2 linked regions of the Ovis aries genome follow. The protein of the gene in region 1 purifies or fractionates together with the protein of each later gene. This does not show direct contact. Links are inferred from orthologs where the notes say so. Each region holds a gene or a part of one and is shown on either strand. Other genes may lie near its edges.

What was found.
Region 2: the proteins of PTPN18 (region 1) and PSTPIP2 purify together in Homo sapiens (affinity purification with mass spectrometry; 4 studies listed by BioGRID and IntAct, with this or other methods). This does not show direct contact. The link is inferred for Ovis aries from reciprocal best matches to the Homo sapiens genes PTPN18 and PSTPIP2.

The regions. Positions count from the first base shown.
Region 1 is NC_056055.1:114,201,252-114,213,353, forward strand, and holds the start of PTPN18 (tyrosine-protein phosphatase non-receptor type 18), read left to right. Parts: upstream 1-4,535; 5' UTR 4,536-4,602; coding exon 4,603-4,695; intron 4,696-6,980; coding exon 6,981-7,089; intron 7,090-7,351; coding exon 7,352-7,428; intron 7,429-7,507; coding exon 7,508-7,603; intron 7,604-7,708; coding exon 7,709-7,747; intron 7,748-12,102. UniProt on the Homo sapiens protein: Differentially dephosphorylate autophosphorylated tyrosine kinases which are known to be overexpressed in tumor tissues.
Region 2 is NC_056076.1:46,210,598-46,222,768, forward strand, and holds the start of PSTPIP2 (proline-serine-threonine phosphatase-interacting protein 2), read right to left. Parts: upstream 6,736-12,171; 5' UTR 6,682-6,735; coding exon 6,649-6,681; intron 1-6,648. UniProt on the Homo sapiens protein: Binds to F-actin. May be involved in regulation of the actin cytoskeleton.

The sequences.
Region 1 (12,102 bases):
GGTGGAGCTGTGTTCCTTCCCTGTTATTTACCTAGGGCCAAACTATGGTGGAGTTCGGACTTCCTGGTGGCTCAGGTAAAGTGTCTGTCTACAATGCGGGAGACCTGGGTTCCATCCCTGAGTCGGGAAGATCCGCTGGAGAAGGAAATGGCAATCCACTCCAGTACTATTGCCTGGAAAATCCCATGGACAGAGGAGCCTGGTAGGCTGCAGTCCATGGGATCGCAAAGAGTTGGACACAACTGAGCTGCTTCACTTCCAAACTATGGTGCAGGCCAACCAGGCCCCTCCATCCATGGAATTTTCTAGGCAAGAGTACTGGAGAGGGTTGCCATTTCCTTCTCTAGAGATATTCCCGACTCAGGGATCAAACCCGGATCTCCCGCATTGCAGGCAGACGCTTTACCGTCTGAGCCACCAGGGAATCCAATGAAGATAATGGTGACCTCCTTCAAAAGGCCCCAGGCGTGTACTGCTACATTCAGTGCCCCCAACCCTGCAGCAGGCCACCACTGACTCATACCTCGACTGGAGACTCCTGGACACTCATGGACAAGTCTGGGTCAGTCTCTTGTGGGGTCATTGCTCCTTTTTCTTGGGTTCTGGTATGCACAAGGTTCTGTTTGTGCCCTCCAAGAGTCTATTTCCAAGGGCTTTGTAAGTCCTGGCAGCTCTGTGGTGGGGTTAATGGCGGCCTCCTCCAAGCGGGCTTATGCCATACCCAGGTTTGCTGTACCCAGAGCCCCTGCCCCTGCGGCAGGCCACTGCTGACCCGTACCTCCACTGGAGACACTCAAACCCTTGAACTCATGTTCAAGGTCGGAGAAGCCCCAGCAAGACAGTAGGCTCTGGAGCAGCCACTGCGTGGCGCTGGAGCAGCTGTGAGGAGATACCCCACGTCCGAGGGCTGAGAAGCCCCAGCAAGATGGTAGGAGGGGCGAATTCACGCTTAGAATCAAACCCCATACCCGGCAGAGATGCTCAGAAGGCTCAAATCAACCTTGTGTGTGCCAGGACCAGAGACCCTGCAGAGACTGGTGGCCATGTAGTCTTGAGACACTGGCATCAGCAGGGAAAAACAGGATATTGCCTTAAGGAAAAAACAGCCCACCACCAGGGCATTGTGGTCACTGTGACTTCATCTCTTGTTTGTCAGGTCACCTACAATGGGCCATTTTTTTAACAATACGCCATGAGCCCCTTGTGGACCCTAACAGTGTACACCATATTTTCTTTATCCATCAGTTTATGAAATTTGGTTTCTCACTTTGGGGCTGTTTTGAATAATGCTGCTATGAGCATTTGTGTTCTCTTTAACTTTTTTCTTTGTGATTTATTCTGTTAGGAAATTGGTTTGTCTTGTAGAGTTTCCAGAGTCTGGAATAAAAGCCCTCACAGAGACAGTTACCACCAGTTACTGGTGAATGCAAACTGCCATTTATAACTTGAGTGAGTGGCATTTTTCTGTTTGCCAAATGGCAGACTTGTAGGTGGGCCAATAGGTAAGCCCACCCAACCAAAGGTTCTTAACAGAGAAGAGCAGTGGGAGAATTTTTTCAAATTTCTTCTTCCCTCTTGTGGCCTAGTTAAATAAGGAATTTGGAGAGGAACTTTTCAGTAGGGAATTCAGTAGTCTCAGACTGTCTCCTCACAAGCTTTCTAGGTGAAGGTGGTCTCTCCTGTTTACGATTTCCCCTTTGTAACAACAGCCTAGGCTGGGCTCTGCACAGTATTGTGAAAGCTTCCCTGAGCACCTTCCAGCACCCTGTCCACTTGGCTCTGTTGCTGGCCTCTGAGCTGGCAAGCAGGTGGCAGACTGGCATGTGGGTGTTGGAGTGCCCAGGACCTGCAGGACAGTGCCAGTTGTTCCCACTGCTTGCCTCCAGGAGTGTGTGCAAGAGGGCAAGCAGCAGCAGTGAGTCCCATTGCAAGAACACAGCTTGCAGTTCTCTGGGAGAATGGAGAGGGGTGAGCCACGGCTGCTGGAGGAGGTCTTGCTGGTTTTCCCACCCCCCCACACCCAGTGCCCGAGCTGAGTGGAGGGCAAGCCAGGAGAGTCTGGATGCTGAAGAGACATGGAGGGGTGGCCAGTGTCAGGATGGCAGTCCACTTCACAAGAGCAGGACATAGAGTGGGCCAGGGAGGAAGGTTGGAGTTGTGGGTGAATGTGCACCCAGAAACAGTGAACCATGGCGGAAGCAGGGCAGGTGGACTGAAGTCTCAGCCACTCTGTTCACAGGCCAGATAGGCAGATAGATCCCCAGACAGGCAGACAGACACACAAACCTCTGGTAAGACAGACTTCCAGATAAAGTCCCAGGCAAAGACTACATAGCAAGACAGCCAAACAATGGACAGATTCTTAGACAGGTGGGAAGATGACCAGCCAGGCATGCAGAGAGACCTGTGTCCAGACAGGACACCCCTCCCACCCTGCTTCCAGCCAACGGAAAGACAGAATCCTTCAGGAATAGACAAAGTACCACCACTGGGCAGAGAGACAGTGGAAAGACATCCTACTACCCAGCCAACTATCCAGCCAGATCTTTAGCTTGGCAGACTTAACTCTGCCAGTAAGAAAGACCCCAGCCTATCAGAAAGGTGCTCAGGATAGACAGATGTCCCCTAAACCAGGGGGACAGATAGATATAGACACCCCATCCTGTTGGACAAACACACCTCCAGCCCCTAGTGGAACAGAGATCCCCCAGCTAGCCAGAACCCATTTGCTGCATTAGCTGCCCTGTTTCCTGGTCACCACCACAGATACGCAGGGCTCACTGAGCCTCAGTGTTGCCTCTGCTCTCCAGGTTGACAGTTTCCAGTGACTACTGACATCCAATGACATTCACTACTAGCAGGGTTCAGAAAGCCCATTTGTGATCCGCAGTGGATATTCCTCCTTCACCCTGGTGTCCACTATCCCCAAATGATTGCTATTAGTGTCCATGATTACTCAGGGGCTCAAGTGTCTCTGTGACTCCTCCAATGGACCTCCATATTTTCTCAAAGTTCAGTGATGCTTCTTTATCCCACCACCCTGAGTGCAACAACTGAGTCCTGAGACCATCCAAGAAATCTCAGTGATTACACTGACATTCACTATCGAGCCCTGGTTAGGGGTCCTCAATGAACTTGTCTGACCCTTTTGACCCCTCAATTACTTGGTAAACTAACACTCCAAGTCCCAATGGCTCCCTGGTTACTTTCAGTCTATCACTGACCTCCCAGTAACTGCCACTGACATCTACTGACAGTCTCATGAACGTCGAAGGACCTCTCACTGGCCTGCAATGAACTCACTGATAACGTCAATCCTTGGTGGCCACTACTGACCTCTGAACTTTCAAAGATGACAGTGAGTCAGCAGTGACTCAATCCCTCAATAAGTGAAACATCCCTACTGACCTGCTTTTTGCCTTCTCAGTCACTTAAACAGGGATTGGCAACCTACAGCCTGCAGCCCACCAAAGAAAAAAGACTGACACATGAAATTAAAATTTAAAGTCCACAAATAAAGTTTGGAATACAGCCATGCTTATCCCTTTACATATGACCTATGGTTGCTTTCATCCTGCCTGTCGAAGTTGAGTGGCTGGGACAAGAGCCAGAGACCTCAGTCGTTTAAGAAACAGTTTGCCTGTCTGTGACAACATTCTGATAACTCCCTAATGAATTAGGTTCACACTCCTTACCTCCAAAGTGAAGGATGGGGTAGCTCACCTACACTGAACGGCCCTTGGCAGGGGCCCCTGGCTCCTACCTACTCTCTCCCTTTGTGGCTCCCGGGCAGCAGCTGTCCTCTGGCCTTCTCCCCATTTTCTGAAGACGACAGTATGAGAATGAAAAAAAAAAAAAAATCCTTAAAAGCGTTGAGAACATCTAGATCCCTGGAACCCACTCCCAAAACCTCAATTCTCAGTTTCCTGGAAGTTTTATACAGCTTGAGATTCCCAAATTAGGATGATCCTGGCTCCCTCGGCTCCTCCTGGCCCGACCCAGAAAAAGAAGGAACCTCAAGAAATTTTGTCTTTCTCGCAGCTCAGGTGCCCGGCTGTCATTTCCCCCCGCGGCAACCTCTCCCAACCTCCCTTGGACTCCGCCGGAGCGCAGAGCGGGGTAAGGTCTCCACATAGGGTTTCCCAGTCAGGAATTTCAGCTTCATCTAGGCAGCCGTCTTTACTCACAGCTGACACGCCACCCCGGTTGGGATCCGGATACGTCCAGCTCCCTGGAGGCCGGGCGAGGGCATGTAGCCATCCGCCATGCCAGGGCGTGGACCCCGGGCCCAAGCTAGAGGCGGTGTCCATAGGACCATAGGGACTCATCCAGCCCGCGCGGAGACAAAAAAATTGAAGCGCCGGCGCAGTTTTCTAGCCCCACGCGCAGCCAGGGGAACCTAGCGCCCCCAGTCCGGTAGCCTGTGGGCGGGGCTGGGGCGGGCTCTGAGTGTCATTGGCTGAGGGGCGCGCCCTGTCTGCCGCTGAGCACTCCCATTGGCCGGCGAGATCTGAGGTGGGGCCTGGGCTGCCTTCAGCGGAGTCTACCCCAGCCGAGAGAGCGGAGGTGCAGGTGGACTGCACCTCACTCCCAGGCGGCACCATGAGCCGCAGCTTGGATGCTGCGCGGAGCTTCTTGGAGCAGCTGGAAGCACTAGGCGGCAGGGATGGGGTGGTCTTCGCCGGCGAGTTCAGCGTGAGTGGGCGAGTGTGGACTGCCGAGCTCCTGCTCCTCGCCCTGGACAGTTCGGACCTCCGTCTGTTCTGTGCACCCTGCTGCACTTTGCTTCTCTCTCGGCGTCCAGGGTCGTCTTCTCACTTCGAGATCTCTCTGTTTTTCTCTCCCCAGCACCTCTCTCTGTCGCACTCTCTCTCTCCCTGCCCGTCTTCACCCTCTGCCTGCAGAGCCCCAGAGGGCGAAGTCCACTGCCGGCCCGGGCGGGGCCGCACACGCCCTCGGGTCCCTGCGCGCTAGCTGCGCTCCCGGTATCGTCGGGTTGCTGAGCGAAGGCGAGCGCTCACGCGATGCTCGGCCGCTCCAGGCGACCGGGTGGTCACTGTCCCCACTGTGGTCCTGGGGAGGAAGGGGCTGGGAAAAGAGGAACCAAGAGGCCCCGCTGCAGTGAGGATATGGAGGCCAGTTCTTACAGGCGATGTGGCCTGAGGCTCTTTATCCGGTCTCTGTGGCCTCTGTTTCTCCTAGGGTGAAATGTGACGAAACTGACCTGAGGATTAAAATAGCCAGTGTGGGTAAACCGCGCTTAGCACATCTTGAGCGCTTACTTTATAGGCGGCTTTGCCACTAGTTATAAATAATCCTAAACTTTACAGTGGGGTAGTGCAAGCTATACGTAAGGAGTGCTAATGCAGCAGCGTCGTAGGCATCGCACTGTACAAGTACTGAGATATTTTAAATATAATAACATAGAAACGTGTTAGAATCATATATGGTGACATCTTAAATTTAGAAATGTCTGATAAATATATGTAAGTAATAAATGACTATATATTCATTAAGAACAATAGAAATAGAGAACAGACTTATGAAGTAATTGTATTAATATAAAATATATAGTGTATATGTATAAATATGTCATAAACTATAACTTATACATTAATTTCATAGAACAGAATAAACATGAAAACTCATTTATAAAATGAGCAGTTATTCAAGTTTCTAAGAAACAATAATAAAAGTATACATCTTTATACAAATATAAAATAAATATTATGTATAAGAACTGTGTAATAAATGCAGAATATATAATTTATGCAATATGAAAATGTGCATAATAAATCTAAACATATGATACCCAGGTAGTACATGACATCATATCCATCCAGGTCTGGGTCCAGTTTGGGACAGTGAGCAGTGCTGACAATCCCTATGCAGAAGCTGGGTGGTGAGCAGTGCCAGTTGCTGGAGGCCAGCCTCCTGCAATCTCCTGCGCTCACAAGAATCTTCCAAGGCCTCTCTGGGCCTTGGTTTCCTTATCTACATAGTAGAAATATCCATAGTGGTATCTACTGCAGAAATGTGTCCATGAAGACTTAAATAACCTACCTGATGGGTGTAAGAACACTTAGAATGGTGGCTTGCAGTCACGGTGGCTTGGTAGGTGTTATTTATTATTGTCATGATTATGAATGCCTGGTGATGATGGCAATACTATTCACTGATCATAACAATCTAACAGTATTAAAGCACCTAATAGTATCTACATAAGTAATGTTATACATTTAATTCATATACATTGTATATTATCTTCTTGTGTATCATGTTTGTTATGTTAAGTACATAATATATTACAATTATTGTTCATGATAAGATGTAAATACACACTGAGGGTATGGGGACAGATGCTCAGAGGTCTGAGTTCAACACTCACCCACTTCCTGGGTGGCACTTTCAGAAAGTCACTGACACATGTGGTGCCTCAGCTTTCTTACTGCACAACGGGGAGTCAATAATACCAACTTCGGAGGCACCTTGCAGATAGTTCAATGCCCTTACACAGGGCTTAGCATAGAGAGGGCACTCTGAATGGCTACTGTTATTGAATCAATATTGGAGAAGGGAATGGCAACCCACTCCAGGACTCTTGCCTGGAAAATCCCATGGACGGAGGGGCCTGGTAGGCTGCAGTCCATGGGGTCGCTAAGAGTCGGACACGACTGAGGGCTTTCACTTTCGCTTTTCACTTTCATGCGTTGGAGAAGAAATGGCAACCCACTCCAGTGTTCTTGCCTGGAGAATCCCAGGGGCGGGGGAACCTGGTGGGCTGCCGTCTATGGGGTCGCACAGAGTCGGACACGACTCAAGCGACTTAGCAGCAGCAACACTATCTGGACGCAGCACTCACCTTTCATAGGGCACTTGCCGCATATCCCTTTGAGAGCCTCAGTGTCCCAGGCCTCTGATCTGGCTCCTCTCTTGCTCTCTCTTCCCACCCCCGGGTCTTCTTGCGGTCCTCCCACCAGGACATCCGGGCCCACTCAGCCGCCTGGAAGACGGAAAGCGTGTGCTCAACGGAGGCCGGCAGTCGCCCCGAGAACCTGAGGAAGAACCGTTACAAGGATGTGCTGCCTTGTAAGTTGGGGTGGGGGTGGGGCCTCCGGAGGAGTCGGTGCCCCCACGCTGTGGGATCCAGGTGCTAACCAGGGTCCCTGTGTCCTACTGGCTTCCCAGAACTCTCCCTCCAGGAGCCCTGCTCTGGCTGCATTTATCCCCAGCATCCCACCAGTGCACCCTGATGGGATCCCCCCAGGTGTGCCGTCCCCTGCTGGCTTTCATCTGGGAGGCCATCAGGGCTGTCACCCACAAAGTCCATGTTTCTCACTTCTGCTGGCAGACGATCAGACACGAGTGATCCTTTCCCTGCTCCAGGAAGAGGGACATGGCGACTACATCAATGGCAACTTCATCAGGGTCAGGCTGGGAGTCAGGAAAGGGGCAGAGGTGGTGGAGGTGACAGCAGAACCTCGATAGTGAACTTAGACTTTACCAGGGTGCAGACGGAAGCCAGGCCTACATCGCCACGCAAGGACCCCTGCCTCACACCTTGCTAGACTTCTGGCGCCTCATCTGGGAATTTGGGGTCAAGGTCAGCTTTGGGGGAAGGGGAGGTGTGGCCAGTATTCTGGGTCCTCCCTTGGCCCTGATAACTGCACCCCCTAAACTGATTCTCCTCCCTTACCCCTATGTCTAGGTCATCCTGATGGCCTGTCAGGAGATGGAGAACGGACGGGTAGGTGTGCTCAGCCTCTGGAGTGCATGTCCTTATGCAGGAGACAGGAGAAATCTCACTAGCTCTCCCCTGATCCCATGACTCAAGGGACGGGTTCTTGGAGTGACCCCACTGTAGCTCTGCCAAGCCCACTATTACTGGCTTTAATTTTTTAAATGATCATTTTCCTTTTATTCGTGTGGTTCATCCTTCCAGTGTTGGCAACCCTCTCCTGCTGGACTTCCTGCCCCATAGACCATAAGACCCTGTAACTGTGGCTTCCCCAGTACAAGTCTGATGTCTTTCCCCATGTTTCTCCCACTTATTCACTATGCTCCGACCACTGGGGCCTTTGTTCTGCCTCGAGTCCTATGTTCCGTCTGTTCCCTCTGCCTGGGACATTTTTCCCCTTGGGCTGCTGCATCACCACCCTCAGGTCTTGGCTCAAATGCTCCTTCCTCAATGAGATCTTCCTGGACCTCACCCCATTTGAAACTCCCACTCTCCTTCCCCGGTCCTACTTTCATTTTCCTTCACAGTTCTTAGCAACTTCTGAATGAAATATAAGATAATCTACAAATGCATTGTGTATATTGTTTATTCTGTCTCCCTGAGTAGAAGCAAAGTTCCAGGAGAGCAGGGATCTTTGCTTTGCCCATAAGTATAAATTAGTTACTCAATAAATGTGTATTATCACTGAAGGCACATGGTTTCTGCATCCTGGCCGGCTGGGATAGCTGGCTGATCATGGAGTCTATGCAATCTATAGTGATGTACATTTTTCATCTCTAATTTTGGTAGTTGTGATATCTTCTCTCCTGGCTATTGGGTCTGGCTAGAATAAAGAATCAAACTTTTAACTGTTGTACTAAATCTGTCCTGCTGCCTGTTTTTGTAAATAAAAATGTATGAGAACATAGTCATGCTCATTGGTTTACATAGGGTATACATGCCACAATTGTCACGTTCAGTAGTTGCAAGTTAAGTAGACTGTATGGCTCCCAAAGTCTAAAAGATTTATTATCTGGCCGTTTATAGAAAGTTAGCCAATCTCTGGGCTAGAGGATTATTAGTTTTATTTTTTTCAAAGAAGTGGCTTTGAATTTTATTCATTTTCTCTAATTTTAAATTTTTATTTCATTAATTTCTTTTATCTTTATCATTTCCTTTCTTCTGGTTTAGGTTTAACTTGCTTTTTTCTAGTTCTTTAAGCTTAGATAAAAGATTTGTGATTTTTATCATGTGTAAGTAACGCCATTCATTTTTCTCCATACACTGCTCTAGCTACATTCCATAAACGATGTTGTCTTTTTTTTCCAGTTAATTCAACATGTGTTCTAGTTGCCCTTGTGATTTCTTCTTTGACATGGTATTTGACTATAGCTGTGGTTAATTTCCAAATATTGGGGACTTTTCCATATATCTTCCTGTTATTAAATTTCAGTTCCATTGTGGTCAAAGAACAATTTTATATTATTCCAGATGTATTGAAACTTGTTTTGTGGCCATGAATACGATTTATCTTGGTAAATGTTTTATGTGCACTTGAAAAGAATTTGTATTCTGCTTGGTTGAGTATTCTATAAATATCAGGTCAAATTGATTGTGTCTTTTTGAAAGACACTTTAATATTTTATATCTTTATTGTATCTTCATTGGAAAAGACTCTGATGCTGGGAGGGATTGGGGGCAGTAGGAGAAGGGGACGACTAAGGATGAGATGGCTGGATGGCATCATGGACTCGATGGATGTGAGTCTGAGTGAACTCCGGGACATGGTGATGGACAGGGAGGCCTGGCGTGCTGCGATTCATAGGGTCACAAAGAGTCGGACACAACTGAGTGACTGAGCTGAACTGAACTGAACTGATAGATCTTTACTGATTTCTTTTCTCTAAATGTTCTGTCAGTTCCCAACAGGAGTGTTGAAACCTTCAACTGTTTTATAACTGTCAATTAGTACAAGCTTGTGAATAGTATTACTCAAATTGTATTATTCATATTTTTTTGTCTCAGTTCAGTTCAGTCGCTCAGTCGTGTCCGACTCTTTGTGACCCCACGAATCACAGCACACCAGGCTTTCCTGTCCATCACCAACTCCCAGAGTTTATCCAAACTCATGTCCATTGAGTCAGTGATGCCATCTAACCATCTCATCCTCTGTCGTCCCCTTCTCCTCCTGCCTTCAATCTTTCTCAGCATCAGGGTCTTTTCAAATGAGTCAGCTCTTCGTATCAGGTGGCCAAAGTATTGGAGTTTTAGCTCCAACATCAGTCCTTCCAATGGACATTCAGGACTGATTTCCTTTAGGATAGAGTGGTTGGATCTCCTTGCAGTTCAAGGGACTCTCAAGAGTCTTCTCCAACACCACAGTTCAAAAGCATCAATTCTTCGGTGCTCAGCCTTATTCACAGTCCAACTCTCACATCCATACCTGACTACTGGAAAAACCATATCCTTGACTAGACAGAACTTTGTTGACAAAGTAATATCTCTGTTTTTTAATATGCTGTCTAAGTTGGTCATAACTTTTCTTCCAAGAAGTAAGCATCTTTCAATTTCATGGCTGCAATCACCATCTGCAATGATTTTGGAGCCCCCCAAAATAAAGTCAGCCACTGTTTCCACTGTTTCCCCATCTATTTGCCATGAAGTGATGGGACTGGATGCCATGATCTTTGTTTTCTGAATGTTGAGCTTTAAGCCAACTTTTTCTCTCTCCTCTTTCACTTTCATCAAGAGGCTCTTTAGTTCTTTTTCACTTTCTGCCATAAGGGTGGTGTCATCTGCATATCTGAGGTTATTGATTTTTCTCCTGGCAATCTTGATTCCAGCTTGTGTTTCTTCCAGTCCAGTGTTTCTCATGACGTACTCTGCATAGAAATTAAATAAGCAGGGTGACAATATACAGCCTGGACGTACTCCTTTTCCTATTTGGAACCAGTCTGTTGTTCCATGTCCAGTTCTAACTGTTGCTTCCTGACCTGCATACAGATTTCTCAAAAGGCAGGTCAGGTGGTCTGGTATTCTCATCTGTTTCAGAATTTTCCACAGTTTATTGTGATCCACACAGTCAAAGGCTTTGGCATAGTCCATAAAGCAGAAAGAGATGTTTTTCTGGAACTCTCTTGCTTTTTCCATGTTCCAGCAGATGTTGGCAATTTGATATCTGGTTCCTCTGCCTTTTCTAAAACCAGCTTGAACATCAGGGATTTCACGGTTCATGTACTGCTGAAGCCTGGCTTGGAGAGTTTTGAGCATTACTTGACTAGCATGTGAGATGCGTGCAATCGTGCGGTAGTTTGAGCATTCTTTGGCATTGCTTTTCTTTGGAATTGGAATGAAAACTGACCTTTTCCAGTCCTCTGGCCACTGCTGAGTTTTCCAAATTTGCTGGCATATTGAGTGCAGCACTTTCACAGCATCATCTTTCAGGATTTGAAATAGCTCCACTGGAATTCCATCACCTCCACTAGCTTTGTTCATAGTGATGCTTTCTAAGGCCCACTTAACTTCACATTCCAAGATGTCTGGCTCTAGATGAGTGATCACATCATCATGATTATCTGGGTCATGAAGATCTTTTTTGTACAGTTCTTCTGTGTATTCTTGCCACCTCTTCTTAATATCTTCTGCTTCTGTTAGTTCCGTACCATTTCTGTCCTTTATCGAGCCCACCTTTGCATGAAATATTCCCTTGGTATCTCTAATTTTCTTGAAGAGATCTCTAGTCTTTCCCATTCTGTTGTTTTCCTCTATTTCTTTGCACTGATCGCTGAAGAAAGCTTTCTTGCTATCTCTTCTTGCTATTCTTTGGAACTCTGCATTCAGATGCTTATATCTTTCCTTTTCTCCTTTGCTTTTCACCTCTCTTCTTTCCACAGCTATTTGTAAGGCCTCCCCAGACAGCCATTTTGCTTTTTTGCATTTCTTTTCCATGGGGATGGTCTTGATCCCTGTCTCCTGTACAATGTCATGAACCTCATTCCATAGTTCATCAGGCACTCTATCTATCAGATCTAGGCCCTTAAATCTATTTCTCACTTCCACTGTATAATCATAAGGGATTTGATTTAGGTCATACCTGAATGGTCGAGCGGTTTTCCCTACTTTCTTTAATTTCAGTCTGAATTTGGTAATAACGAGTTCATGATCTGAGCCACAGTCAGCTCCTGGTCTTGTTTTTGTTGACTCTATAGAGCTTCTCCATCTTTGGCTGCATATGATATAATCAATCTAATATAATCAATATAATCAATCTAGTGTTGACCATCTGGTGATGTCCATGTGTAGAGTCTTCTCTTGTGTTGTTGGAAGAGGGTGTTTGCTATGACCAGTGCATTTTCTTGGCAAAACTCTATTAGTCTTTGCCCTGC
Region 2 (12,171 bases), on another chromosome or scaffold:
GATCCCACATGTGGCAACAAAGAGCAATGCAGCCAAATAAATAAATAAGCAAATAATTTTTTTTAAATTACAGTGACATGTCATTCTATAAAGCTAACCAACAATTCCTATTATTTAACACCGCCCCTCCCCCTTTTCTTGCTTCTCTGGTGGCTCAGACGGTAAAGCATCTGCCTGCAGTGCGGGAAACCCGGGTTTGATTCCTGGGTCGGGAAGATCCCCTGGAGCAGGAAATGGCAATCCACTCCCGCACCCTTGCCTGGAAAATCCCATGGACGGAGGAGCCTGATACGCTACAGTCCATGGGATCACAAAGAGTCGGACTCGACTGAGCAACTTCACTTTCTTTCCCCCTTTTCTTTTGTCAAAGCTGGAGATTTCTAGTATAGCGGAGGAAAGAAAAATGTCAGCCCCTTCCTACTCAGATGAGCTTTTCACTAACACTGAATGATATTTATGCTGTAATAAAATATGTCCAAAAATGGACATTCTGATTATACTTAAGAGATGGTAAATGAAAATTACAGAAGTTAATTGCAAAAACATCTACTGGTTGTACAAACAGAGGTACTTTGGATATTGTATATGTTTGGATGTAACTGATATTTGCTTTGATTGGCTAATGACATCTATAGTTGCTTTTACCAGAAAAATCCATAAATTAATATGCATCCATACACACTTATACCAAGTTTGCACACACCAAGTCTTTTTGACTTTAGAATGAACTTAACTATGTATTATCTATGTACGTGTTCCTGTAATGGGTATCTGAGACACCAAACTCAGAATTCTACATTCACTGTGTAAATCTAATCTGTGAACAAACTGTTGTTTGTGCAGGGGAAAAAACTGATAGAGTGGAGCATTGAGGGGGAAAAAAAAAGGGTCTCTGGGGCTTCCCTGATGGCTCAGTGGTAAATAATTTACCTTGCAATGCAGGAGACATGGGCTCGATCCCTGATCCAGGAAGATCCCACATGCTCTGGAGCAACTAAGCCTGTGCTCTAGAGCTCCACAACAAGAGAAGCCAGTGCAAAGAGAAGCCGATGCTTCTCTGCAACTAGAGGAAAGCCCGCACAGCAACAAAGATCCAGCACAGCCAAAATTAAATAACAAATAAATGCTTTAAAAAAGGGTTTCTGATAAAGGTGAATAATGTCTTCCCTCAAAGAAAGAAGAATTAGAAAGTCCAGGAAAAATAAGAATGGAGATCTAACTATAATATACTACTTCAGGCTTCCCTGATGGCTCATCAGGTAAAGAATCCGCCTGCAATGCAAGAGACACGGGTTCCCTCTCTGGGTTGGGAAGATCCCCTGGAGAAGGAAATCGCAACCCACCCCAGTATTTCTTGCCTGGAGAATCCCACAGACAGAGGAGCCTGGCAGGCTACAGTCCGAAGGGTTGCAAAGAGTCAGACATGACTAAGCGTGTGCACACACACACACACACACACTTAGCTTTAAAAATAAAAACCTTTACATGCTGTGGGAATTCCCTGGCGGTCCAGTGGTTAGGACTCTGCACTTTCTCTGCTGAGGGTATGGGTTCCACCCCTGGTCAAGGAACTAAGATCCCACAAGTCACATGGCAAAGAAAAATAAAATAAAAAACAGTCTTTACACATTGTGACAACATAAATAATAATTATATTGTTTTTCATTATAAGTCATTTGGGAATATTTGAATTTTTAAAGAATATGCTTACACCATCTAGACTTTTTTAAAGTTTGTTAACAAACTTTTGTTTTCTTTCCACTTGTTCAGATTTTGTTTCATATATTTCAAAAAGAATTTCCCATTTTTCTGGAGGCTTCTCTGGCAGTCACAGTGACTGAGACTCTGCTCTTCCAATGCAGGGAGCTTGGGTTTGCACCCTGGTGAGAAAACTAGGATCCCACATGCCTCATGGCCAAAAAAAGAGAAGAATTTCTTGTTTTCCTTAGAAGGTAGATCCCATGACTTTCTTATTAAATTCTTACAATGCTAAAACAAGAAAATAAGATTTGTGATAATCATTTTAAAGTTAGAACCCAGTGGCTGCTCTAGAAAGAATGAACTGGAAGGGACGAAAGTCAACGCCTTTATCTTGCATTTTGCCACCAGGCAGGACAATACCAACTCAAGATCTGGTAAGACCCAGAAAGAACAGATTCCAAAGCGGTCAGAGGTTTGAAGCAGAGGGACAGCCCTGGGTGGTCAGGCACAACGAGCAAGTTCAGGGGGCCCCAAGCCTTCCCCTGGTCACTCCCCAAGCAGAGGAGAGAGGCCTCGCCCACCGTAGGCACAGGGGTGGGAGAGGTTAGGACAGGCAATAGGAGGCTGGTCTGGGCTTAGAGCAGTGAGAATCAGGAAGACCATCAACATAAGGATCTAGAAGATACACAGGGTCAGGCTGGGGTCACACCCTCGTGAGGAATGTGGGACTGTCCTGAGGCGGGGAGCATCTCCCTCTCCTGGAACAGGTCACCTGTGCAAGGCCCCTCTGACCACAGGCCAAAGGCTGGGACCGTCCCTATGTGGCCACCTTCCCTGGAGCCCTGGAAACCACACCCACAGCCCCTGTCTTATTTCAACAAGATACCGTCAACGTGAACCAGGATAAATAACAGCACAGCTTAACCACACAACTGCTGGGAGGGAAAAAGCACACACAGTGGGGGACTATCCCAGTTTTAAAGAGCATTCCCTTTTCAAATAGATCCACCGAAAGGTTCCTTTAAATGAACTTCCCACGGGGCATCTGAAGATTATTTATACAGTATACGCTGACTCACACCTTTTCAGGAACATCTACCTAATTTGACCATGGGCCTCTCAACTTCCATGGAACATTCCTCTCCTGGGCCTGTGATGGCTCCTGTGAGGGTTGAATCCCTACATCTCTACCTCTCTTTCTCTGACCCCTCTCTACTCCTGCCAAAACAAGGTAGTCACCAAGAGTGCTTCTCTGGGGTCCTCTTATCTCTTGATTCTCAAGGAGTAACTGTCAACCACTTCCTTTAATTATCACCTCTGTGCTGATAATAGTTGACAATCACAAGTGCTCGCTATGTGCCAGGCATGCACAGAACTCTGATTTAATCCTCACAACAGTCCTAGAGCACCAACATTGGTATTATCCTCATTTTTCAACATGGAAAAACAGAATGAGAGTTGAAGTTATCTGCCCAAGGTCACTCAGCTATAAGGGGCAGATGGGGATTTAAACTTGGCCATGAGTCTGAGTGAACTCCGGGAGTTGGTGATGGGCAGGGAGGCCTGGCGTGCTGCAATTCACGGGGTCGCAAAGAGTCGGACACAACTGAGCAAGTGAACTGAGCTGAACTGAGGCCACCTGAGAGCCTCTGCTGTTCCAGGCACTGTCTTTCCTGGACACCCTTTGCCTGGACACCCTACTGGGGCCCCCTCTACCAAGTCCTCAAACCTAGGATCAGGGCACACTCACTGTTTGTACTGGTTGTTCAAATATTAAAATATCCCCAAACCCTGCTGTCTGGCCCCTGTTCCTTCCCTAGGACCTCCCCATATCCAGCAACCCTGGCACTGTCCTGAAAGCTGAGGGCTGCTGCAGGGGCTTCAGGATGCTGCGAGTCTCCGTCTTCACCAGTGCTACCCCTGTAGTTAATATTGTCAGTATCGCTTCTGCCTCCTCCTCCTTCTCTCCCCACAAACCAGTTCCTCATGTGACTTCCTGCTTTCTGGGGCCAGTACCCCACTCTCCTGCTCACCTTACGCAGAGCCTGCTCGGAGCCTTTCTTTCCTCTCCCCCACTGCCCGGTTTCAATTGGTGACCTTGTCCCGTGGCTTTGACTTCTCTTACCCTCTGCCATTCCTTTCATTGGTCTCCTCCTGTCCCTTCCCTGCGATTTCCATCCTGGAACAGACCCTTTCTGCCCCTCGGCCCCTGCCAGAACTCTCCCATTCCCCAACCCCTTTGTCCTCTATATCCGTGAGGACAGGCATTCAAGACTCAGTCCACCCTCCCTGCTGGCTTCCTAATGATGAATGTACCTTCGACCCAAGACGGTGCTCTTATCCCTGCAAATGCCACCTCTATACAGAGAACGTATTTTCTCTAATATTTGTTCAATTCAATCAGCTGATACCCACTCGGGTTTCCAAAGCTTTCTACCTTATACCATCACAACCTTCTTGTCCTTGAAGCATGAGTTGCTGCCATCCCCTCAGTGATAACAACAGCCTTGCTCCCCACTGTCTACCCATCCCTGAAAATATGAAAGCATCTCAGGCAGCCCCTAAGGTCTCCAATAGTTTCCCTTCTGCCCCCTTTCTTTCAAATCTGGGCTGACTGTCCCGTCTGCCTGGTTCCTGAGCATCCGTATGAGAAGCACCATCGCAGTGCTGGAGGCTCAGTGGGTGGTGGCACTCAGTGCAGACACCCCAGGAACTCATGGTTGGAGCTGAAGGAGAAAGATATGCACGTGAAGAGTCAAATGATGTCTCAGCGTCTACATCTGACAGTGCCAAAGGACACTCTCACTGAGCACCAGCCTCGCTGAAAGCACTCGATGAACACTTGGTCTATGCAGAGTCCTGCTGCACTGTTTAATAGCTCTACAATCTTGGGAATGTTGCTCAACCTGTTTGCCACTCAGTTTCCTTATCTGCAAAATGGAATAGTCAATAAGGTACCCCATAGGGTAGCTGAGACGTAAATGAGTGGTATATGCAAAGTGTTTAGCACGGTGCTTGCCACAGACTCTATACACAGTAATGTTAGCTATTACTGTTTTTATTACTTGACATAAAAATCATATGAAATTAGAAGATATCTTTGCAAACTATCACTCAGGATCTTATATGTTTTGAAAGTAAAAGCTCGGGGAGGGGCGAGGGGGAAGTAAAAACTCAGAAAGTTCTCTACCCTGGACTTTTACCAAATCTCTAACTCCCAACACAGACCTCATATCTGCCCCCTCCCCTAAACATTCCTGCAAGACTGCCTCTGGGAGCAGCTGGGGGGCTGCCTTCCTGTGGCCTGGGAGCCCTCTGAGGATGGAGGCCGCAGCTCTCAACCCCATTTCATAGATCCACTGTACTCATTCGACAGCTATCTGCTGAGATCTCACTGGCAACAGCCCGTGCAAGGGGCAGTGGCACTGAAAGCCAGACAACAGCTGTCCACAAGGTGCTCACATGCTTGCAAGGCCCCCAACCTCAAAACCATAAAGGACAATAATTATGAAGGAATACAACATGCACTATCGGGCACAATCAGGGAGGGCTTCCCTGAAGAGAAGACACTGGGCAGAGACCTGAAAACTGAATGCTACATATTGAGGGGAAGAAAAACAGCGCTCTCTGTGCTGTTTTTTTCCCATAGTGCCTGGCATGGGACCCTGAGATCCTTTATTCCACCCAAAGAATTCACAGGCCTCCTCCAGGGGCCAGCTCCAAGGCCATGCACCCTCTCTGTGAAGCTGCTTGTGGTGAGAGGACCATACCCCACAGGTGGGCAGTGCTCAAGGAGAACCCCAAAAACTCCAGGAAAAGGGACTTCTCAAGGCAGGGTCTAAACTGTGTCCCCCAGGTTACAGGACCAAGTTTTCTCTTTGTAGCACTCTCCATGGGGGAAAGGAACCTGCTAGGTGCTATGAGGCTAAACAGGGAGCCATCAGGGTTACTTTCCTTTCGGCTTCCCTGATAGCTCAGTTGGTAAAGAATCCTCCTGCAATGCAGGAGACCCCAGTTCAATTCCTGGGTCAGGAAGATACTCTGGAGAAGAGATAGGCTACCCACTTCAGTATTGGGCTTCCCTTGTGGCTCAGCTGGTAAGGAATCCGCCTGCAAAGAGTCAGACAGAGGGAGCAACTTTCACTTCACATCCGGACTGCAGGTAAGGAGATGGGGCGGCTTGGCAGCAGTAGCTCAGTCTGGAGACAAGCTGACTTTCTGCTCCTGCCTTAAAAGGATGAGGGTGGCTCCTCCAAATGAGGGGGTACAGACTGTTGAGGGGCACCTGGGGAGCGAGAGGACGGGGGGAAGAGGACTGGACAGAGAAGAGGACTGAGCTGACGCCTCCTGGTTGGGCCCGTCCTCGGGCTCAGATGCCCCCACCAGCTCGCAGGATCTCACACACGCACCAGCCTCCCCCTGGATAGGGGGACAGGGGGCAAAGGCTGGGAGGGGCTCAGGAAACGGGGCTACGAGACCGGCAAAGCTTCTGCTAGAGAACCCCGCTAATGTCTGGAGGCTCGGACAGGCTGTACATTTCCGCGGACCTGGAAAAGCCAAACAACCCGGCGAAGTTTACCGTACGTTCTCTGACCCACGTTACCCCCCAAATCTGCTCACAGTGCAGCCTCCGGGACCACCCTGCGACTGTCCCAGGACGAGTGGCTCCTCCCTTTGGGTCTCGGTTTCCCCAGGTGTAAGATGAGAGGGGAATGTCCCAGCTATAAGGCTACACCTGTCTGCGGTGACCCGGGGCGCGGACGGCCGAGGGAAACCCTGCGAACCGGACCCCGGGGACCCGAGGACGCGCGGCGGGCTGGGGGCAGCGCAGAGAGGGGCCGGCGGCGGCCGGTCCGATCGGCTTCTGCTCCGGACAGGGGCCCACGGCTCCCTTCGGGGCCCCCATCTCCCAAGCCGGGCGATGGGCTCCTCGCCTCGCTGACTTACCCAAAAGTTCCCCTTGAACAGTGAGCCTGTCATGGCTGGCTAGCGAGCAGCGAGGAGAACCAGAGCAGGCGCGCGGGGACGAGGACTGTCAGGACCTGCCAGCCCGGCCGCGCACCCGGAGCTAAGCCCCGCCCACGCCACCGCCCACCCCGCCCCCCACACCACCCATCTGCCCGCCCCGCCTGCCCCGAGCCTCACCGCCTGGCCCCGCCCCCGAGCCCAGCTCCGCCCCCGATCCCCGCCCCTCCTGCCCCGAGGCGCATCGCTCGGCCCCGTCCCCTACCCCAACCCCCGCTTCGCCCCCGGAGCCCCACCCCCTCTCTCCGGCCCCGCCCCGCGTCCCCACCACGCCCCGAGCCCCCACCACTCCCCGCTCCCCGCACCCTTCGGCGGTCCTCAGCACCCAGCACCCCCGACTCCTGCCCGAGCCGCGTCCGGGGTCTGCCTGCACCCTGCACTCGTCCCGCGCGGAAGACAGAGGCGGCCCGAGGGTTAGACCCTGCGGCGTCAGGCGTCAGTTAACCCTACGTCCCTCTCCTTCGGGAGACCTTTAAAGATCGGAAGGAACCGATTCTGTCGCCTCCCTGAATTCGGTTCCGTTCCTGCCCACAGCTCCCTCCTCCCTTGACCCAGTTCCTGGCGGAGACAGCCAGGCTCTGCGCGCTGGTGGACTGAGCCCCCGTCGGATCCGAGGTGGTCGCGGGGACTGCGCGCGGCCTCCACTGACAACACTGACGGCCGCGTTAGGTGTGGACGCTTCAGCTCATCAAGTGCGGGACCTCAGAGGCACCCGCCACAGGTAAGCATGTTTTAGTCCAAAAGTCATGGAAAGGTCATTGGCCCTTGACTCCATGTCCCTCAGTGGGGTCCTTTCAAGGTGTCCAGAAACTCAGCTCCTCCCCAACCCTTCCGCATTCTTAGGATCCAGACCCAAGACCCTTCTCCACCAAATCCCTCCAGAAGTATGATGTCCCAGCGTCCTTCCTCTTCCTTCATTCTCCTAGTAGAACAAACACCCCCGTAAACATAACCGAGGGCAAGTCAGACCCATCCCCGCTTTGCAGTGATAAGGCACTCTGAGACAAAGTACAGCCCTGCGCTACCTGCCCTGAACCAAAAACTGAGGCCCACAGAGGCTGACTGACGTGGCCAAGATCACAGGTATTTAAAGTATGAGGAGCTCGGTTACAGCTCTGCCCCTCTCAACAGAATCAGAGCCAAAGATAGAGGTCATTCCTGAGGCTGATCCACTCAAGGAGGGGAGGATGCAGGTCGAGAGCCAGCCCCCAGCCTCAGACCTGGAGAGGCAAACTGTGCCTCTGAGCAGGTTCTAGCTTGGTACAGACACAGTGAAGATAGCAGCTGGGGTGATGTGAAGGGCAGCTGGAAGGTTTGCCCTCACCCACCCCAGTGATGGAATCCCACCAAGAGTCATCTGCAACAACAGAGATGGAGAGGTGGCCTTCAGCTGCATCCATTCATCAGGCTGTTCAACTCTCTGGAAAGCAGCGAGGTTAGAAGGAAAAAGGGAAGCCTGACAGCATCATCAGGGGCACCAGGAGGACAGGCTCAACAGAAGGAGGGGTAAGAAATAGTGCCAACAGAGGAAATATGCTGAAGTGCCACAGATAGCATCAAAGTTTTTCCTGGGAGTTTTGAATATTTTGGAACAAATATTTTAAATCAATTCTAATTGTTTAAATTTTCATTTTCAACATTTTGTTTAACCTCTCAGGGTACATTGTACTTGATTTTCGTGGCTCAGACCCACGAGGTCCCCTGAATTTTAACTCTCTTCCACCACCTGGTGGCAAGATTGGAAATTTCAAATGGTTGTCCACACAGAAAATATTCCTCATCCATTCCTAATTTATAAACCTTATCACCTCAACAGGTGTTGGGAATAAAAAGACAAGTAATATTTGTACTATATCCATGGGTCTTGCTTTGAATTGTTTTTACAGCAGAAGTGTGTTAGTCGCTCAGTCACGTCTGACTCTTTACAACCCCATGGACTGTAGCCCACCAGGCTCCTCTGTCCATGGAGATTCTCCAGGCAAGAATGCTAGAGAGGGTTGCAATTTCCTTCTCCAGGGGGTCCTCCCAACCCAGGGATCGAACCTGGGTCACCTGCATCACAGGCAAATTCTTTACTATCTGCACCACCAAGGATGCCCCCAAGGGTCTATAACAAATTTGGGATATTTTACTAATGAAGTTAAATAACACTACTACAGCCATAACACTACTACAGCCATAACACTACTCCAGGAAGATCCCTGGAGCAGGAAATAGCAAGCCACCCCCATATTCCTGCCTGGAGAATCTCATGGACAGAGGAGCCTGGCAGGCCACAGTCCATGGGGTTACAAAGAGGTGGACTACAGCAATTATGGAATAATGAATCAATACATTTAATATAAACCACAATTAACACATTTACTGTGTTAACAGTGGATAATTTAATGGCATTATTAAATTCAGTGGCATTATCTGAATTTAATGCATTAAATTAATGCCATTAATAGTGGCATTCATTATTATTAATTCAGTGGCATTATCTCTTTCAATAATATGCATTTGCATGGTTGGCAGGCAGATTATTAACCTCTGGATCACCAGGGAAGTCCTACATTTGCATTTTTAAGCTCGTACTGTACATATTTGAGTCTTGCTTTTGTAACGTAACAATATTTCATTAGTATTTTCTAAAATCCTTTAATACACCTTTCCTAACATAAAGTTTGATAGCACATGATGCTGGCTGAATGGACAGGACACTCTTTCATGAGAAAATTGAAAATCTCTGTGGAAAGAAATTCTGCCATATTGCCAAAATTTTTAATGCTCCCTTTTTTTTTTTTGGCCACAAGTCTTGCAGTGAAAGCATTGAGTCCTAACCACTAGAGCACCAAGGAATTTCCTAAGTGCTCCTATGTTTTGATCCAACAATTCCATGTTAGAGTTTATCCTCCAGATATCCTCATATGTGCAAAGTGAAATATGTATATAATTATTTATAGCAGCATGGTTATTCTGGCAAAAGATTTGAAAGAACTAAATGCCATCAGTGGAGGACTAGCTCAATAGATTGCAATACATCTATATAATTAAATCATATTCAAGCATTAAAAAAATGAGGAAGCTCAGTGTTTTGATATGGAACAATCACCAGCTATAAAGCGGGGAAAAAACAAGATGCGAAACAAACTTCCGTTTGGGTAAAGAGGAAAAAGAATAGACACACATGTTTTAAATGTTCCTCTTATGCGGGGGTGAATGGGGCAGAGGGACATAGGAGGGAAGAAAACCTACTTTTCACTTCATGCTCTCTGGACCTCTGAGTTTATACAATATGAGTTTATTTCAAACCTCCCAAAAATTAAAAAGAAAAATCTTCAGTATCACTTTCTAACTTTTGCATAATTTCCCATCAAGTGGATATACCAATACTTTTTTAGCATTCTCTTAATGCTTTTAGAAATATCACTGTGATAAATATCTTTTACATAAATTTTTATTAAAATTCCTCGTAATGCAATGTTCACAGAAGCACTATTCACAATAGCCAAGACATGGAAACCTAAATGTCCAATGACAGATGAATGGATAAAGATGTGGTACATATATACAATGGAATACTACTCAGCCATAAATAAGAATGAAATAATGCCATTTTCAGCAATATGGATGCCACTAAGAGATTATCATACCAACTGAAGTCAGAAAGAAAAAGACAAGTATGATACCACTTATATGTGAAATCTAAAACATGACACAAACGAGCCTATCTATAAAACAGAAACAGACTCATGGACATAGAGAACAGACTAGTAGTTGTCAAGGGGGAGAGGTTTAGGGAGGGATGGAGTAGGAGGGTAGGGTTAGCAGATTTAAGCTATTATACTGGGATGGATAAACAACAAAGTCTTACCGAATACCACAGAGAACTATATTCAATATCCTATGATAAACCATAATGGAAAAGATTTTAAAAAAGAATGTGTGTGTGTGTGTGTGTGTGTGTGTGTGTGTGTGTGTGTGATATACACATATAATTGATTCACTTTGCTGTACTGCAGAAATTAACACAACACTGAAAATCAACTATACCTCAAAAAAGTTCCTCATAATCACAGGTTAAATAATATAAACATTTTTAAGGTTTTTGAAATTAAGCTGTCAAATTGTTCCACAAGAATTATAAAGGAAAGGGAGGCTTCCCCAGAAGGAATCAGGGACCTTTCCCTTGAAATAGGATAAATGGATGGTGAGTGGCAAAAATAACAAATGCCCACTCTGCATTCCTCTTCCTCCTCTGCCAACTCGCCTTAGTTTTCTTTCTTGAAGCACTGCTGCTTTTCTCTGCTCTCCTCACAAAGCCATGTTTCCCCATCAGAATTAAGTCCCAAATGCCCCTTTGTGGCCGTTGAGACCTTCCCTACCCTGACCTTTCCCACTTCACTCCCTGGCTTCCTCCCCTGTCCCCACCCTAGGCCAGCCAGGCTTTTCTGCCACCCCAGCTGTGCTGCTCCTTTGCAGGCTGCCTGGGTGCAGCTCGTCTCTTTTCTCAAATTCTATCTCAGCACCACTTGCCCCACCTTCTCCAGCCCTTAGCCCTTGATGAAATATGACTTATATCCATGTTTTTTTCTCTAGTTTCTGTTCCTCGTGGATAGCTTACCTCCCCAAGAAGAATGCAAAGCCCCTCAAGATAAGGATGCTATTTTCTCATAGAATATACAATGATAGTACCCGACAGGGAATTCAACAAGCTCTCCCTGATCATTAACAGCAGTACTGGATTTCCTTGGTGACATGGAGGATAGGAATCCACCTGCCAATGCAGGGGACACGATCCCTAGTCCAGGAAGATTCCACATGCTATGGAGCAACTAAGCCCGTGCCCCACAAATACTGAAGCCTGTGAGCCTAGAGCCCCTGCTCCACAAGAGAAAGTACCTGTAGTGAGAAGCCCGCTCTCGGCAATGAAGAGTAGCCCCCACTTGCCACGACTAGAGAAAGCCTGTGCAAAGCAACAAGGACCCAGTGCAGCCAAAAATTAATTAAAAAAAAAAAAAAAAAAACCAGCAGTCACTACCAATTTTTACCTCAGTTCCCATAGCCTGATCCCTCCCTTCCAGGAGACAGGGGCAAATCTGGCCAAGGAGCTAAAGCCAGGATCTGAGAAGCAGGACCTGGCCAAGCAGGGGACAGAGGGCAGTAGTAAGTCAATGTCAAAAGCAGAGAGGTTGGATTTCATCACTAAGATTAGAAGCTGAGTAGATTCATGAGTGGAACAGAGGGTCAGAACAGAACATGAATAGTATACAAAGGGAAAACTTCCAGGAGAAGGCTTCAGTACCCAGAGGCTAGCTGTCTGCAACAAAGCACAGATGAGTGTGGTCTGCCCTTTGCACTGTTGGGGCACAAGGCAGACCACCCCCAAAATATCCTCAGTGGGATGATTTTGAATTAGTAACTTAAGAAATTGCAAATCCAAGGACACTGTAACACCTGTCT